2 linked regions of the Lonchura striata genome follow. The main gene of each other region encodes a partner of the protein of the gene in region 2 in a complex. Links are inferred from orthologs where the notes say so. Each region holds a gene or a part of one and is shown on either strand. Other genes may lie near its edges.

Evidence for each region. Proteins that work in one complex are often made in the same cells at the same time.
Region 1: HDAC3 (region 2) and NKAP share a complex: the UniProt entries of both Homo sapiens proteins name them as parts of the notch corepressor complex. The link is inferred for Lonchura striata from reciprocal best matches to the Homo sapiens genes HDAC3 and NKAP.

Annotation. Positions count from the first base shown.
Region 1 is NC_134616.1:9,031,648-9,039,334, forward strand, and holds the start of NKAP (NF-kappa-B-activating protein), read right to left. Parts: upstream 3,002-7,687; coding exon 2,766-3,001; intron 2,422-2,765; coding exon 2,341-2,421; intron 1,961-2,340; coding exon 1,887-1,960; intron 1,674-1,886; coding exon 1,554-1,673; intron 813-1,553; coding exon 767-812; intron 380-766; coding exon 264-379; intron 115-263; coding exon 39-114; intron 1-38. Other genes in the region: ZBTB33 (transcriptional regulator Kaiso), read left to right, coding at 3,188-3,212. UniProt on the Homo sapiens protein: Acts as a transcriptional repressor. Plays a role as a transcriptional corepressor of the Notch-mediated signaling required for T-cell development. Also involved in the TNF and IL-1 induced NF-kappa-B activation.
Region 2 is NC_134617.1:15,751,956-15,758,836, forward strand, and holds the start of HDAC3 (histone deacetylase 3), read right to left. Parts: upstream 3,009-6,881; 5' UTR 2,943-3,008; coding exon 2,888-2,942; intron 2,635-2,887; exon of another isoform or gene 2,600-2,634; intron 2,557-2,599; coding exon 2,474-2,556; intron 1-2,473. UniProt on the Homo sapiens protein: Histone deacetylase that catalyzes the deacetylation of lysine residues on the N-terminal part of the core histones (H2A, H2B, H3 and H4), and some other non-histone substrates.

The DNA.
Region 1 (7,687 bases), on a different chromosome or scaffold from region 2:
TTTATTTGATCAAAGTATCATTAGAGCTGGTTACTCACTTCAAAGGCCTGTCATCCTGAGATGCATGAGTTTTGGGAGCCTCTGGTCCAATCAAACTATCAGCTTCAGTATTTTCTGCAACAATCAAATAATGAGGAAGATTAATCTTGTATCCATTATTCTTTGTTATCAGAAAGGTTATACAGGTCAGCAACACCTAACAACAAATTCACAAAAAGGACATCAAGAAGTTTCCATCCAAGTTTAAAGTCAGGTGAACTTACTTGATCTCTCTATCCAGAGATCATCCCCTTGAAGCATTTCATCATCGGAATCTTCGCTACTTGAATCACTGGATTCCCTCCTGCTCTTCTTAGATTTCTTTTTCTTATACTTCTTCCTGTGGTAAAGCCAGACAGACATGCTATTTATCAAAATTTAAGATTAAAGAAGGTGCTTGGAATCATACTCAAATAATTAGTTTCTCAAGGCAACTTCCACCTATAGGAAGAATGCTGTCCGCTGTTTCATACAAAACACTTTACACCAAAGCCAAGACAATATATATGTTCTATTTTAACTTTCATAGAGTGTTAGAAAGTGGCTATACAGAAAGTTGTTTATGCTGCACAATTGTGTAGATTTAAATAAAAACTATCAAAATAATATTATTTGCCAGCTCTTGCAAATGACCTAAGGTCCTCAGGCTCCCTGAGGGCCTGCAAAGAAAACTGAGCTGCCCTCCAGGCAACAGCAGCCAAAATGATACAGCAACCACAACACTTACTTTTTGTTCTTCTTTTTCTTCTTCTTGCTTTTCTTTTTATCTTCATCTGAAAAAAGAAAGTGTATGTATTATCAAAAATAAATTATTAATTATAACTAAGTAGTTTACTGCCCTGTGAATAACACGGCATACCTTTTACATCCCCAGTATTCACAGAGCTGTAGGCTCTTTGACTCTCTCAACTCTAGCCCTAAGCCTAACCCCATCACCAGGGGTGGTGGTCAAGATCAGAAAGATGTAGGAGCAGCACAGTTGGGGCTTTGCTGGGATCACCTTGGAATGCCTTTTCCAGTCCCAATGTTCCTGTGACTCGCTCAACCCTAACCCTAAGCCCTAGCCCTAACCCAAACTCAATAATATGGGTTTTCCAGGTCAGAATGATGTAGGAAAAGCAATGTTGGGGCCTTGCTGGGATTGCCTTGGCATGCTTTTTCCAGTCTCAGTACTCCTGGAGCTATAGGCTCTTTCACTCTCTCAGCCCTAAGCTTAACCACTCCCCTAACCCTACTGCTAAGAATTATACTAACCACTACCCCTACCAATTAACCAAACCACTACCCTAAACCTGAGCCTATTCCCAGCACTAACTGCCTCCTCCAGCATGCCCTAGTACACATCCTGATGGGACTTGTTTATACTGGGAAAGTGTTAGGAGAAAGGTCCCTGCAGTACTGGTCGATATGAGAACATATCAAAGAGATCTCTGGCATGAGAGGCCCAGTGGATGCTAAATTCAGAAATCCAATTTCCTGAGGCTACACTGCAAGCTGAGACCCTCTTGTCTTACCACTGGAGTTCTGTTCAGACTCTGAGTCACTGTCGCTGTCCTCAGAATGTTTCCTGCGCTTTCTTTTGGATGCTTTACGTTTTTTCTTTTGTTTTTGCTTCTTCTTTTTCTTCTTTTCCTCTGGAATGTTTTTAAACATAACATTAGAGAACAAAGAACACTTGGTTCCATATGTATTCCCTGATCTTCCCAAAGCAATGCTCTCCTTTGGGCTGGAGCCCACCCCAACCACTCCCACCCATCTAAGCCAGGGAACCTCCTGCAAGCAGCAGCAGATTCTAAGCCACAGTAGCTTCCCATTTTTGAAAAAGCTGTGCAAGCCAGACAAAATACCTTCTGAGCTGGAATCCGAAGAACTACTCTTAGATTTTGCCTCTTCATCTTCTACTGGCGTGTGCTCATCGGAACTGAATAAAATAACAGTTTGCTACTTAAAATCTGTTTTGTTGTACTCAAGATCAAAGGTATACAAATGATCAAAGACATTTTGAATCAATCCCTGCAAAGGAGTAAAATATCAAAGATATTATAAAAATAATTTAGCCTGGGAACTGCTGTCAGAACCACAACACAACAATCACCTGATCTACAATAAATAATGTATTGCATAATTGGTATGTTGGAATTATTTGGTTGAAAAAATAGCAATCTCATTATGCTGCTTCAGAAAGGAAGTGACACAGTAAGTACTGTGGCACCAAGACTAATGCAGGGATAAAGAATTTTTATAAACTGAACTGATATGTAATTAATATTATAAAAAACATGAAGAAAGACTATGCCTTACTCTGGGTCAGGAACTTTTGGTGACAGCCCCCAGACTTCAGGCGCCCCCAGTTCTCCAATTCTCTCTCTCTCATTGAGTCTCCTGTAAAGGAAAACACTGACACTGACGCCTAGTTTGCAACACCCAGCACACAAACATTTTAAGTCTTACGCGTTAGTGTTTCCGAAGCAGCTACAGGAAGGGTAAGAAACAACTCGGAGCAAGGAGCAGGGGCAGGGGCAGTCAGGCAGCAGAGCTCCGCACACCGCAGAGGCTCGGCGGTAGCAGCTGTCACCCCGTTCCAGCCGAGCTCCGTCCCGGCTGCCCCGGGGAACGCACGGGGAGCCCGTGAGGGACCGTACAGAACCGGGCCCGGCCGCGGCACCCGCCCCTCCCGCGCGGAGCGGGGCCCGGCGGGGCAGCCCCGGCCCCTCGCCGGCGCTCACCTCTGCCGCAGGATCTCCTCCTTCTCCTTCTCGTAGTACTCGGGCCATTTGCCGTGGTGGTGGTGCCCGTGGTGCGCGGAAGAGCGCGGCGCGCCGGGGCTGCGGGACCGGCTGCGGCTCCGCCGGTGGCTCGGGCGCCTGGGGCCATTGCGCTCGCGGGAGCGGGAGCGCGAGCGGCGGCCGCGGCGCTCGGAGCCGGCGGCGGGCGGGGAGCGGGAGCGGGACGCGGGCGCCATGGCGGAAGCGGAGGCGCTTCCGGCGCTTCCGGTGCCCTCCCGGCCGGGCGGGAGCGGGGCGGGAGCGGGGCGGGAGCGGGGCGGCCCCGCCCGCGGGGTCACCGCCCCACCCGCCCGGCCGGCAACGCGGCGGCGGCGGCGGCGGCGGCGGCTCCTTTTGTGCCCCGCGGCGGCCGCCCGGCAGCGATGGACGCGCGCACGGCGGCCGAAGGTGAGGCGCGGACGGGGCGCGGGGCGCGGGCGGGGGGCGGTGGCGGCCCGGGCCCGGCTCCGCCCCGCTCCGCGGGCACCGGCGCGGGGCCGCGGCCCCGGGAGCTGTCCAGGGCGGCCCGGGAGCAGCACTGCCCCGCGGACAGCTCAGCGTGCCCCGGCGGGGCTCCCGTTCGTGGCCGGGCCCGGCGCCGCCTGGCACGGCCCGGCCCGGGCGAGGCCCGGCCCCGTGTTCGGGGCCGGCACCTCCCCGCGGCCTGACACGGCGCTGCCGGTGCGGCCGCTCAGGGCAGAACTGACAGCACGGGGGAAACGGCCCCAGCTTGCGTCGGGGCAGCTTTAGGGTGCGTATTAGGATTTTTATTTTCATGGGAAAGGTTATCAAGCACAGGAATAAGCTGCACAGCGAAGTGGTGCAGTCACTGTCCCCGGAAATATTAAAAAACCATGTGGAGATGGCACTTACGGACATGGTGTAATGGTGAACGTGGTGCTGGCGCTGGGTTCAGGTTGGACTTGATGATCTTAAGTCTTTCCCAGCCTTAACCTTTATCCATAAAGATGATACAAATTATATATTCAGATAAGACATCCACTCTTCTGTGAGCGCCCTTCCCCCTCAGGTTTGACCACGTTACCACGGAGCTTTCTTAAATAAACCCCGAGTTTCTGCTCAGCTCTGGAAATGCAGTGCGATATCGCTGGGTCTGGCCAGCTCCGTGTAAACGGGGCATTTTGGACAGCTGCTACACCCTGGGAAGCCCATGCTGGTTTATGCTGTCTAGAAATTATGTCAGGGTATGCCAGTCTCTTTTTCACAAATGGAGCAGTATTTTAGCTCCTAAACCTACCATAAACAGCATTTAAAAAACCCTGTAAGATGGAGGAAGCCTATTTAAACTGTGTATTTATTTGGGTACACGGAACCATGTGCAGTAGAGGGAGGGAAAAGATTTACCAGAAATTCCCACTACTGTCACCTGTGTCTGTGTGAGGACAGCGTATATTCTCCCTTCTTTTGATTATTTCGGCAAACTAATTTTGGATTATTTTAGATCTGATTAAATGATGCCTAAAACATCTGCCTCAGGAGCAATCTGCACTTGTGTTACCTAATACCATTAGGTGACTTGAAGTGCTTTTGTAAACAAGTCATAATGTCATGCGGTACATAACAGCATCTACAACAACTACTAATGTCAATAAAAAGATTACTGGACTCTTAATTCAGATATATGAAGCTTTATATAATGGGATTGGCAGGAGAAATAGTCTCAGAGATTCCTTCAAGGCATAAACAGTGAAAATTTGTATTTTAGAGTCTTTCAGAAGCAGTGATTTTTTATTTGAATTCCCACAGTGAAGAATATTTCTGTCCTTAAAGGTACTCTTAGGTAGGATAACTATTGAATTTCAATTTTTATTGAAAACCCTTAACTGTTCTGCTTATAAAATTTAATTTACTTTAATGTAAAATACTTGTTTTCATGAAGGAGAATGTTACTTTGTCTTTCAAATTTGTCAGTTCTTTAAAAGAATTTTCTATTCTCGCAAAGTGGATTTTTTAAAAACAAAAAAGCTTCTCAAGTTGCTTAATTGAAAACTCGTTACTGAATTACATACTGTTTTGTCGTCTTGTAAAGGCCTGCACATAAATTTCTTTAAATTTGTACTTCATATTTTCAGAGCCTCCACCCCAAAGTTTTTTTGATCACTTCTATACATTAAGATAAAAGTTGCTATTGGGTCTCTTACATTTTCAGTTCCAAGACAACCACATGTAGTTCTATATCCTGGATGTTTCTTATCTTAGATAAAATGGTTCTTTTATATTGTTATTGATATTGTAAGGCTTTATGTGACTTGAACCATCAAACACTTTCGACGCTTATCTGAACATAAAAGTGGAAAGAACAACCCCTAAAATAGGAGATGCATGCTGACAAAAAAAAATGCACACCGAAATTCAGCTTTTAGGTGCAGCAAGATGGTGGCAGCTTCAGTCAAATTGGCTGAGCTGGGGAGAGCATTAACTCTGTCCTGACTGCAGCAGTGTGACCGTGGGGTTCAGATTTTTTATCTGACAGAAGGACTTGCCATAGAGAAAAGCTGCTGTGAGAAAGGTAAAAGTCAAGGAGATGGTGCAGCTCTCCCAGCAGCTTTTAAATCAGGCAGCATTTCAGTGCCTAAGAATAAGTGGTTTAAACCTGATTTTTGAGATCTGGTGATGCCTTAGGAGCAGGAATCCTTCCAAGTGCTCATCTGTGGCTGTAAATTTTCCTGCTAGCTATTTAGTATTGGATGAGGTATTGAGAATAGAAATCCTTAAAGCTGGAGGATGCAAGGCTAAAAAATTGTTTAATTTGGGCCATCACACATTTTTGGAGGAGAAAAAAAGCACTGGATTAAGTATTTAAACAATTATAGTATTATTTTCATTTAATATAGCCTCATGGGTAAAAATTACGAAGAACCTCTATCAAAGGAGAAAAGAATTGAAGGATCATGTGAGGAAGAAAAGCCTATGTTTTTCCTGATGAGTGTTTTCTAATATTTATCCTCATGCAATTGACTCTCTAGTAAAACCTATAAATAAACAGAAACTGGTTTTGTAACATTTAAAATCTGAAGCCTCAATTCAGAAAGGCATTTGTGTTACTAGCTATACAGATACAAGGAGCCTGGCAGGTGATTTTCTTGCTAGAAGAAAGATTATTCTTGCTAGAAGAAATTGTTATTTGTTTCTTGTTCATAAACCTGGCAGGACCATTTCATTGCTGATTTACAAGGTGAAGGATTGCAGTCATGTCTGCCAGTGACTGTGGCCTGTTACGTTTGTCATCGAACTTGACAGGACATTCGTTCTTGTCAAAGTTTTTAAATCTTAAGGAAAATCAGGAGCCCCTGTGGTTCAAGTCCACAGAATGCATAGAGGGGAAAAAAAAGGAACAGACGAGTAACCACAGATAAAAAGTATCTTTTATGATCTCGGTGTTCTTCGAGCATTCCTGAACAGCAACAGCTTCCCAGAGGCCGTGCTGTGGATGTGTCACTCCAGTGGCCACACGGCTAATGTGCCGAGAGTCGCATTTGGTCAAAGGCACTCTGTGCCAAAGCCGTACATGTCCGTGCGGCTGCTGGCAGAGTCTAACACGTGTGCCTGTGGCGCAAAGAATTCCAAAGAAATGCTCCCGCAGCAGCAGCAAGGGTGCTCAGGTGTGGGTTTGAGCTCCGCTCGGTGCTGGGCGGAGGTGCCGGCTGCGTCAGCGTTGGCAGAGCAGCGCCAATGGCCCCGGGAAGGAAACGAGACCCAGCGGCAAACAGCGTCCGCACGGCCTCATCCCGCGCTCGGCCGTGAGGCAGCGCCGGGGCTCGCTGCCGCCTCCGCCCGGGAACGGAGCGCGGGGAGCCGGCCGGGAGCTGCCAGGGCCGCAGCAGGGCCGGCCTGCGCCGAGGCAGGGTCAGGGCCTCGCTCCTCGGGGCGCGACGCGGGCGGTGTGTCCGAGCCGCGGCCCCGGGGCCGCCGGCGGCGCGGGGCGGGGCGGGGCGGCGCGGCGGGAGCGGCCCGGCCCCGCCCCGGCGAAGGTTCCCGAGGCCGCTCGGGTCAGAGCCGAGGGCAGCGCCGGCAGCGCCCCCCGGCGGCGGCGCGGCGCGGCGGGCGCGGGGCCGGAGCGCGGCGCAGGTAACGCGGGGAGCGCGGGCTCGGCGGCTCGGCTGCCCTCCCGCCCGGCCGGGGGCTCGGCACGGCTCCGCCGGCGGCGGCGGCGGCGGGGCCGCCCGCCAGCCCGGGCCCGGTGCTGCCAGGCCGCTCCCGGGCCCGCCGCTGTCAGCGCGCCGCTCCCGCTCGGCCTCCGGCCGCGGACCGGCCGCTGCTGCCTCGGCGGCCCCGCCCGCAGCGCGGTTCTCACGGCCGGGCCCGGGGTCGGGGGGAGCCGGCCAGGACGCGCCCCCGGGCTGGGACTCATCCGGCCGCGACTCCGGCCGCGGCGTCTCATCCGGCCCGGCCCGGCCCGGCCCGGCCTGGCCTGCGGAAATAAGTTTTACGGGTAAAATTAGAGCCCGTGACTCGCTGTACTGCATTTGGATGTTGCTTTTTTCCGGTTATTGGGGGGCTTTGAATGGGCAGTGCTGACGGATAGGTTACTTTGACTTAGCAGGTCTGCTTCGCTACGGTGCTGCTTCCGAGTCTCGGTTTGAAATACAAAGCCTTGCAAATATGTGACATGGGGTTAAAAAAAGTTTATTTTTCTGGGGAAGTAAGTGCACTATCCATAGCGTTTTCATTAACTCAGTTGATTGGTAATACGTCGACACACAGATTCTGGTGTCTGGCCATAAATAACTTCATGATATTTGGCTTTCTCATAACAACCTATGGAATATTTCACAATTAAAAATAAATTACTAATAATGTTTAAAGCTGTTTTTGGGACCCAAAACTTACATTTTCTTGGTTTTATAATTAAACTTACTTGC
Region 2 (6,881 bases):
ATTTGGGGAAACCTCCCAGACAGATGGAAGAGCTGCATAAGTTTTGTTTCCTTTGGAAAGAAAAATGGGGGGAATGGTCAGGGAGGTGGATGGACTCAAATCCAGGATCTTGTGACAACACAGTTTTGGCACTTAGGGCACATCTCTCAGTAGAGGGGAAGTTAAAAATTAACACCACCATCTCTTATCAATTCAATTGATAAAAGAGATTTTCTGTGATTACTCTTATTATTTTAATTTCTCTTATTTTAAGCAAGCACTTGACAGAAAAAGTGGAACATGAACACAACAGAAGATGCACGAGCTGGTCTCCAAAGGGAAATTCCTCAGGACAACTGCACCATGCTCCTGCTTTCTGTGCTGAGCAGAAAACCTGGTCCTTTTCAGAGCCACAATAAACCAGAACAATCCCATCTCCTCCTCTCCTGGTGCTTTCCATGTGGAATTTGGTGTTCCTCAGAGGTCTGCTGCCTCTGACAACTCAAACAGAGGATGAGGCAACTCCTTATTCCCAGGGATCCCCCAGGAATCCTGAAGTTCATTAAACCAAACCAGACCAAAACTGATGGCAAGGAGAGGAGAAATGGCTCTCACTGCGCAGCCAGAGGCTCTCAGAGTAGGGATGTGGGGATCAAACAGAAAGGGAGGGGAAAACCAGGCTGGAATGTTCACCCAGCTGCTGGCAGAACAAAGCTGGCTCCTTGCAGCCTTCCCAGCAATCCCAGCCACGTTCCCGAGCTGGGGAAGGTGGGAAGAGGCAAACCCAGCCCAACAGGATCACAAGCTTTGGTTGTAAGGAGGCAGAAACAATGCAACCACAGCACAAAATCAGCAGGAATTTCCCAGTCCCAATGCTCCAAACCCCTGCTTTTATTTGCTCCTGACTTTGCCAGTCCCTGACTGTTTGGGGATGAAGTTTTCAGCTTCCCAGTGCAGCTTGTGGAAAACAAAACCCCTCAGAAAAAGAATTTCAAGACTGAAAATGTAAAAGAGCTCTGCCCACTGCCTCCTTCAGGAAGGGATTTGCCATTTAAAAGTGTTAGGTCAGAACATGTTTTTTGGTTGTTCCTGCAAGGAAAAGCCTGGGGAAGTTTCTTGTGGAAATAATAATAATTAAAAAAACTCTGGGGAAGTTACTTGTGGAAATCCACACAGTGACAGTACAGATCTAGAAAAGAAACTTTGCGAAGACTCCCCACAGTCTTTCCAAGTGCTGCATTTCCACACAGTCACTGCCCTGGATGTGGTTTTATTTGGGAATTGTATTAATTAAGGAAATTTTTGTCATGTCTAAACACCTAAAATTGTTTTCATAGATTGCATCTCTACAGATGCCTGACCTCAGCAGCTCCTTGGAATCCTCTACAGCTGCACCAACAGCACAGGACTGAGGTGTAAAACCATCGTGAAGCTGTCACCCACCCGTGGGGCCCAAAGCTCTGCAACATCACTGAACACATGAAACGTAAATTTTAACGAATTTAGAGATTTTAGAGGAGCTAAGATTTGAGTTAGAGATAAGCCTTACTAGAGTTAATTAAAATAAATAAAATAAATGAGTAGGCCTTGATGAAGTTAGGAGTTAGTAGTTAACTAATAATTGATTGTTTGTCAGCACAATGTTTAGTTAGCTGGGTTTATAATGAAGAATACACAAACTGACAAAGAGCTTTTAGGAACATAAGACAATTGTGGGCCTCCTCTGTTCCAAAACTAACTGAAGACAAGGAATGGGAGTTCTACCAACAGTTCATTTGTCATATTTGCATTGAAAAGGTAGAAAGGTCACAATGAGGAAGACTTCATTGACTTCCTCATTTTGGGACCCCTCCCCATGAAAGGGACACCGACCCATTTCAAGGGACAAAGTAGGCATGCTGAATGGCTTTTGAAATTATTAGCATAGGAAGTGAGGAATGGGATGTACTGACATGATGAACATGTATTTGTATTTTGGGTATTCAATACTTGTATGGATAACAGGGCTCTGTAATCACTTGGAAGGGGAGGTGTGGATTTGGGAGCAATCCCTCATGCTGCCCGGCATTGAATAAACACACATTTTCTAACTTTAAACTGTTAGAGAGATTTTATCCGTCACAGTTGGATATCTGTGCTAGATCAATATCCATATTTTTTAAATAAATCACACATCACCCACCCGTGGGGATCCAAACCTCTGCAACATCAGTGAACACGTCACCCACCCGTGGGGCCCAAAATCTCTACATCACCCACCCGTGGGGATCCAAACTTCTGCAACATCAGTGAACACATCATCCACCCGTGAGGATCCAAATCTCTACAACATCAGTGATCACATCACCCACCCGTGATACCCCCCAAATCTCTACAACATCGCTGAACCTGTCACCCACCCGTGGGGCCCCAAGCAGCCCCGGGGGCTCGGTGTGGAGCCCTCCTTGGTGCCCCGCCGCCCCCACCCCGCCCGGTTGGGACACGCGTGGCTTACGATCATTTTCTTGTAGAGGCCGTAGTGCAGCACCAGGCTGTGCGTGAGCGCCAGGCGGTGCGGCTTCATGGGGTGCCCCGCGCCTGCAACGGAACCGCGCGGGATCAGCGGCGCCACAACGGCCCCGCCGCCGCCGGGCACCGGCACCGCGCTGCGCACAGGTCCGGTTGGGGGGAGAGGGGAGCGGGGCTGGGGCACAGCGGGGCTGGGGCACAGCGGGGCTGGGGGACAGCGGGGCTGGGGGACAGCGGGGCTGGGGGACAGCGGGGCTGAGGGGCTGGGAGACAGTGGCGCTGAGGGACAGCGGCGACCGGGCCGCGCCACACCCCCGCCTCCAGCCGGCTCCGCCCAGCCCCAGCCGCGCGGCGGCCGCTCCGCCGCTCCGCCCCGGCGCTGCCCCGGCCCCACTCGCACCGTAGTGGAAGTTCCCCACGTCCGGGTCGTAGAAATAGGCCACGGTCTTCGCCATGGCGGACAGGCCGCGCCGCGCGCCGCGCTCCTGCTTACGTCATCTCCCCGCGACAGCCGCCCGGGGATGGGGCGGGGCCACTACAGGGACACGCCCACAAGGGGCATGGCCTCACCGGGGCGTGGCCGCCGCGGCCCCGGTGCCGCCGCCGCTCCGCCCGACCGGTCCTGGTCACCGCCAGCGCCCCGGGCTGGCCCCGCTGCTCCCTGCCGCCCGCACACCGCCCCCATCGGCCCAGCTGCCCGCAGGACACATCGCAGGCTCGCCTGCCTGCCCCGCGCCTGCCCCCGCTTGTCCCAGTTACCGGCTGGGCTCTCTCCGGTAACCCCGTGTCATCTCCCTGCTCATCCTCAGCTCCCACCGTTATCCCTCATGCCCCTCTCCTACTGCCAGTTACCCTCAGTTACTGGCAAGTGCTCCCAGTTACCCCCCCCAGCAGATCACGGTTACTGCCAGTGCTCCCAGTTACCCCCCCCCGGCAGATCCCAGTTACTGCTAGCTGCTCCCAGTTACCCCCCCAGCACATCCCAGTTACTGCCAGTGCTCCCAATTACCCTCCCGGCAGATCCCAGTTACTGCTAGCTGCTCCCAGTTACCTCCCCGGCAGATCCCAGTTACTGCTAGCTGCTCCCAGTTACCCCTGGCAGATCCCAGTTACTGCCAGTGCTCCCAGTTACCCCCCGGCAGATCCCAGTTACTGCCAGTGCTCCCAGTTACCCCCCAGGCAGATCCCAGTTACTGCTAGCTGCTCCCAGTTACCCCTGGCAGATCCCAGTTGCCCACAGGATTCTTTTCTCCAGGCCCACAGCTGGCCCCCAGTCACTCCCAGTCACTCCCAGTCATTCCCAGGCCCCCCTTTCACCCCAGTCCCCACTCCCGGGGCACAGGGGATGGGCAGGGGGGTTTCCATGGGACACTCACGCCCTGATGGGACTCGTTCCATTCCAGTCCCTGAAGGATGGGGACCTGCTCCTGCCAGCTGTCACCAGGTGCCACCCTGGGGGGTGCAGGCTCTCCAGACCTTTGGCAAGAACCCTTTGGAGGCAGCGCCAGGCAGGAGAAGGACAAAAGCTGGGTGGGAAATTGCTGGATGTCAGGAGGAAGCAGAATGGGGAAAGCTGGAGCTGACAAAGGATGGAAACAGGAGCATGGCGTGAGCAGGGCTGGCTGGGAACGGCAGCACAAACCTGCTCCATGGGGGCTGGAGAGGAGGAAGGACAGACAGAGCATGAAGCCTTGTTCAAAGGCTTGGAAATCCAAGGCAAAATCCATGCTTGGTCCTGCCAGCCTCCTGCCTGAGGCTTCCTGCAGTTTGGGATGAGGGAAGCTGTGCTGGAGACAGGCTCCTCAACCCAGCGGGTCTCAGAGACGGGCAGGACCCCCAGAGCTGCCTGAGGATGGGCACCAGGGCATTCCCTGGCATCTCAGTGGATGCCAGGCTGGGATTTCCAGGGGATGGCAACCCCTTGGAAGCAGCAAGAGGAGCTGCCCGCCTGTATGGGATGGGGCATGGCGGGATGGCCGGGGGTTCTGGGGCTGTGCTGGCTGCAGGAGTCAGGGTGGGATGGAGTGGTGGGGTCACTGAAGGATAGCTCTGGCTGCCTCTGCCCCCCCTGCGGGGACACTGCTCCCTCCACATCGCTCCTTGGCTGGTTTCCTTTCAGGATCCCAGCTCCAGCATGGGGCAAGGATCACAGGATGGTTTAGGGGATAGGATTGGAAGGGACCTTAAGGATCATTTCATTCCAATCCCCTGCCAGGGGCAGGACACTTCCAGAGGAGACCCAGGACCTCTCGCTGTGACCCCGCAGGGCACAGCTGTACCTGGGGACACTCAGAGAGAGCACCTGGCACCGAGCCCAGCACCCAGCGTGGGAAATTCAGCACTCCTGGACAACTGACCAGTGTGATTAAGCAGAAGCTGTTTGTTGTTTCTATTATGCACTTATTTATATATTCTAACTCCACTGCACACACTGGTCACACATTTCTTATCGGTTCTTTTGTCTTGTCCACGTGTTCTGCCTGCACCTCTCAGAATCTGGGACTGATCACAGTCCAGGTGCTTTGCTGCTGTTATTTGGAATTCTGTTTCTCAGCTTCTTCTTTCTTATTTAGCACAGTTTCTGTCTTAGTAAGCTTGATGGATTCTGGCGGGTTCTGAGAAAACTCTGGTGAGAACAGTTACAAGCTGGGTGGCCGGTGCACGCTGAGGCCTCAGTTCAGATACATTGCTGCAGGAAATCACCCGGATTTCAACGTGCTGAGCAGCACGGCTGAGCTGGGAGCTCCCAAAGCTCTGACGGTGCTCCCCATGACGACTGTCCTGTCCCTGCTCCACCAGCTGCTGCCACCAGATAACGCCTGGCTGGGGACACGGAGCCACCGGGGAGCACGTCCCAGTGCCCGCCTGGGGACGGGGTGAGAGAGCAGAGACACATCCCTGCTCGAGGAGAGCAGAGACACATCCCTGCCCGAGGAGAGCAGAGACACATCCCTGCTCGAGGACAGCAGAGACACATCCCTGCTTGAGGAGAGCAGAGACACATCCCTGCTCGAGGACAGCAGAGACACGGCCCTGCTTCCAGCTGGGATCACTCTGCTGCCTGAGCTCTCCTTCTGGAAGCCGGGTGCTGTTCCGGGCATCTTCACGGGTGTTGGAGCAGAGCAAGGGAAGCGTTGGAGAGGGATATTTTTAGATGCTCTTTGTGCTCAGAGAGCAGAAGCAGGCTGTGGTTTAACGGCCATTAGCTGCTGGGCATGTTTGGAAAGCTGGAGCAAGGCTGAGGATTCAGGGACATGTTTGACACGATGGCATGGAGCAGCTTTGCAGACGTCAGGACAATTTTTGGGCTGAGCACTGAAGTGAAGATCCCAAGATGAGCCTGGATCTGGGCACTCCAGCCCGTTTAGCTGCCACATGGACAAGCAGCGGGGCCAGAGTAGCTGATCCCCCAAAAGGACGTGGTCACATTGTTTGTGGGGTGACATTTGCTCCAACGGCTGCGGAAGAGGTGCGGGAAAAGAGCAGACAAGAGGTAATGTGGAATTTCACTGGGGCTGGGGCCAGCTGAGGGACAGGGTGACAGGTGACAGCACTGTCCCACCAGCTTCTCCTCAGCCACTCTGTCCCCTTCCTCCCAAGCCTCCAAAGCTTAAAATTTCAGTGTTTCCAGGCAATGCCTAGAGAGGGAGTAAAGCCTCCAAGGACTTCCAGGATTCAGGGAAGCCCCAAGGGGGGGACCTGGGAAGGAAGGGCAAGGGATGGTTTGGATTGGAAAGGACCTTAAATCTCATCTCATTCCAACCCATTGTCATGGGCAGGGACACCTTCCACTAGACCAAACCCCATCCAACCTGGCCTTGGACACTTCCAGGCATGGCTAAGGCCATCTCCAAGGTCAAGAAGTGCTGATATGTTGGCCCTGGTCAATGCAGAATAAAACATGCCAAAAATTTCAGCTGAGTTCATGAGGAAAAAAGGCAACTCCAACTTACCACTGTATGGGAGCTCATCACTAATTGGTTCATCCACGAGCAAGGACGTTTCATAAGTCCTGAAAACACGGGAAGAGAGGAGCTCAGGACATGGGAAATGCAGGGACAACTCCCACAGAAGTGCCCAAGCAGTGCCCCGGGCAGGCAGAGGGGACTCACCAGCACCGTGCCACGTTCTGGACCATGTAACCTCCTCCTCCAGCTGGTGCTGCTGGATGAGGTGAGCAGGCAGAAAGAAGGCAGCTGCCTATCCCAGAGCTCCAGTCAGATTGTCCTGTGTCTCAGACCCACTGCCTCGGCTGGTGGGGTCACACAGGATGGCAGAGGAGCGGGGATGGGGTCAGGAGGGACAGAGGATGCAGAGCCCAGACTGGATGAGCCATGAGCAGGCAGGCCCCAGCCACAGCTGCACCTCCCTGCCTTGGTGTGGGGCTTTGCCCC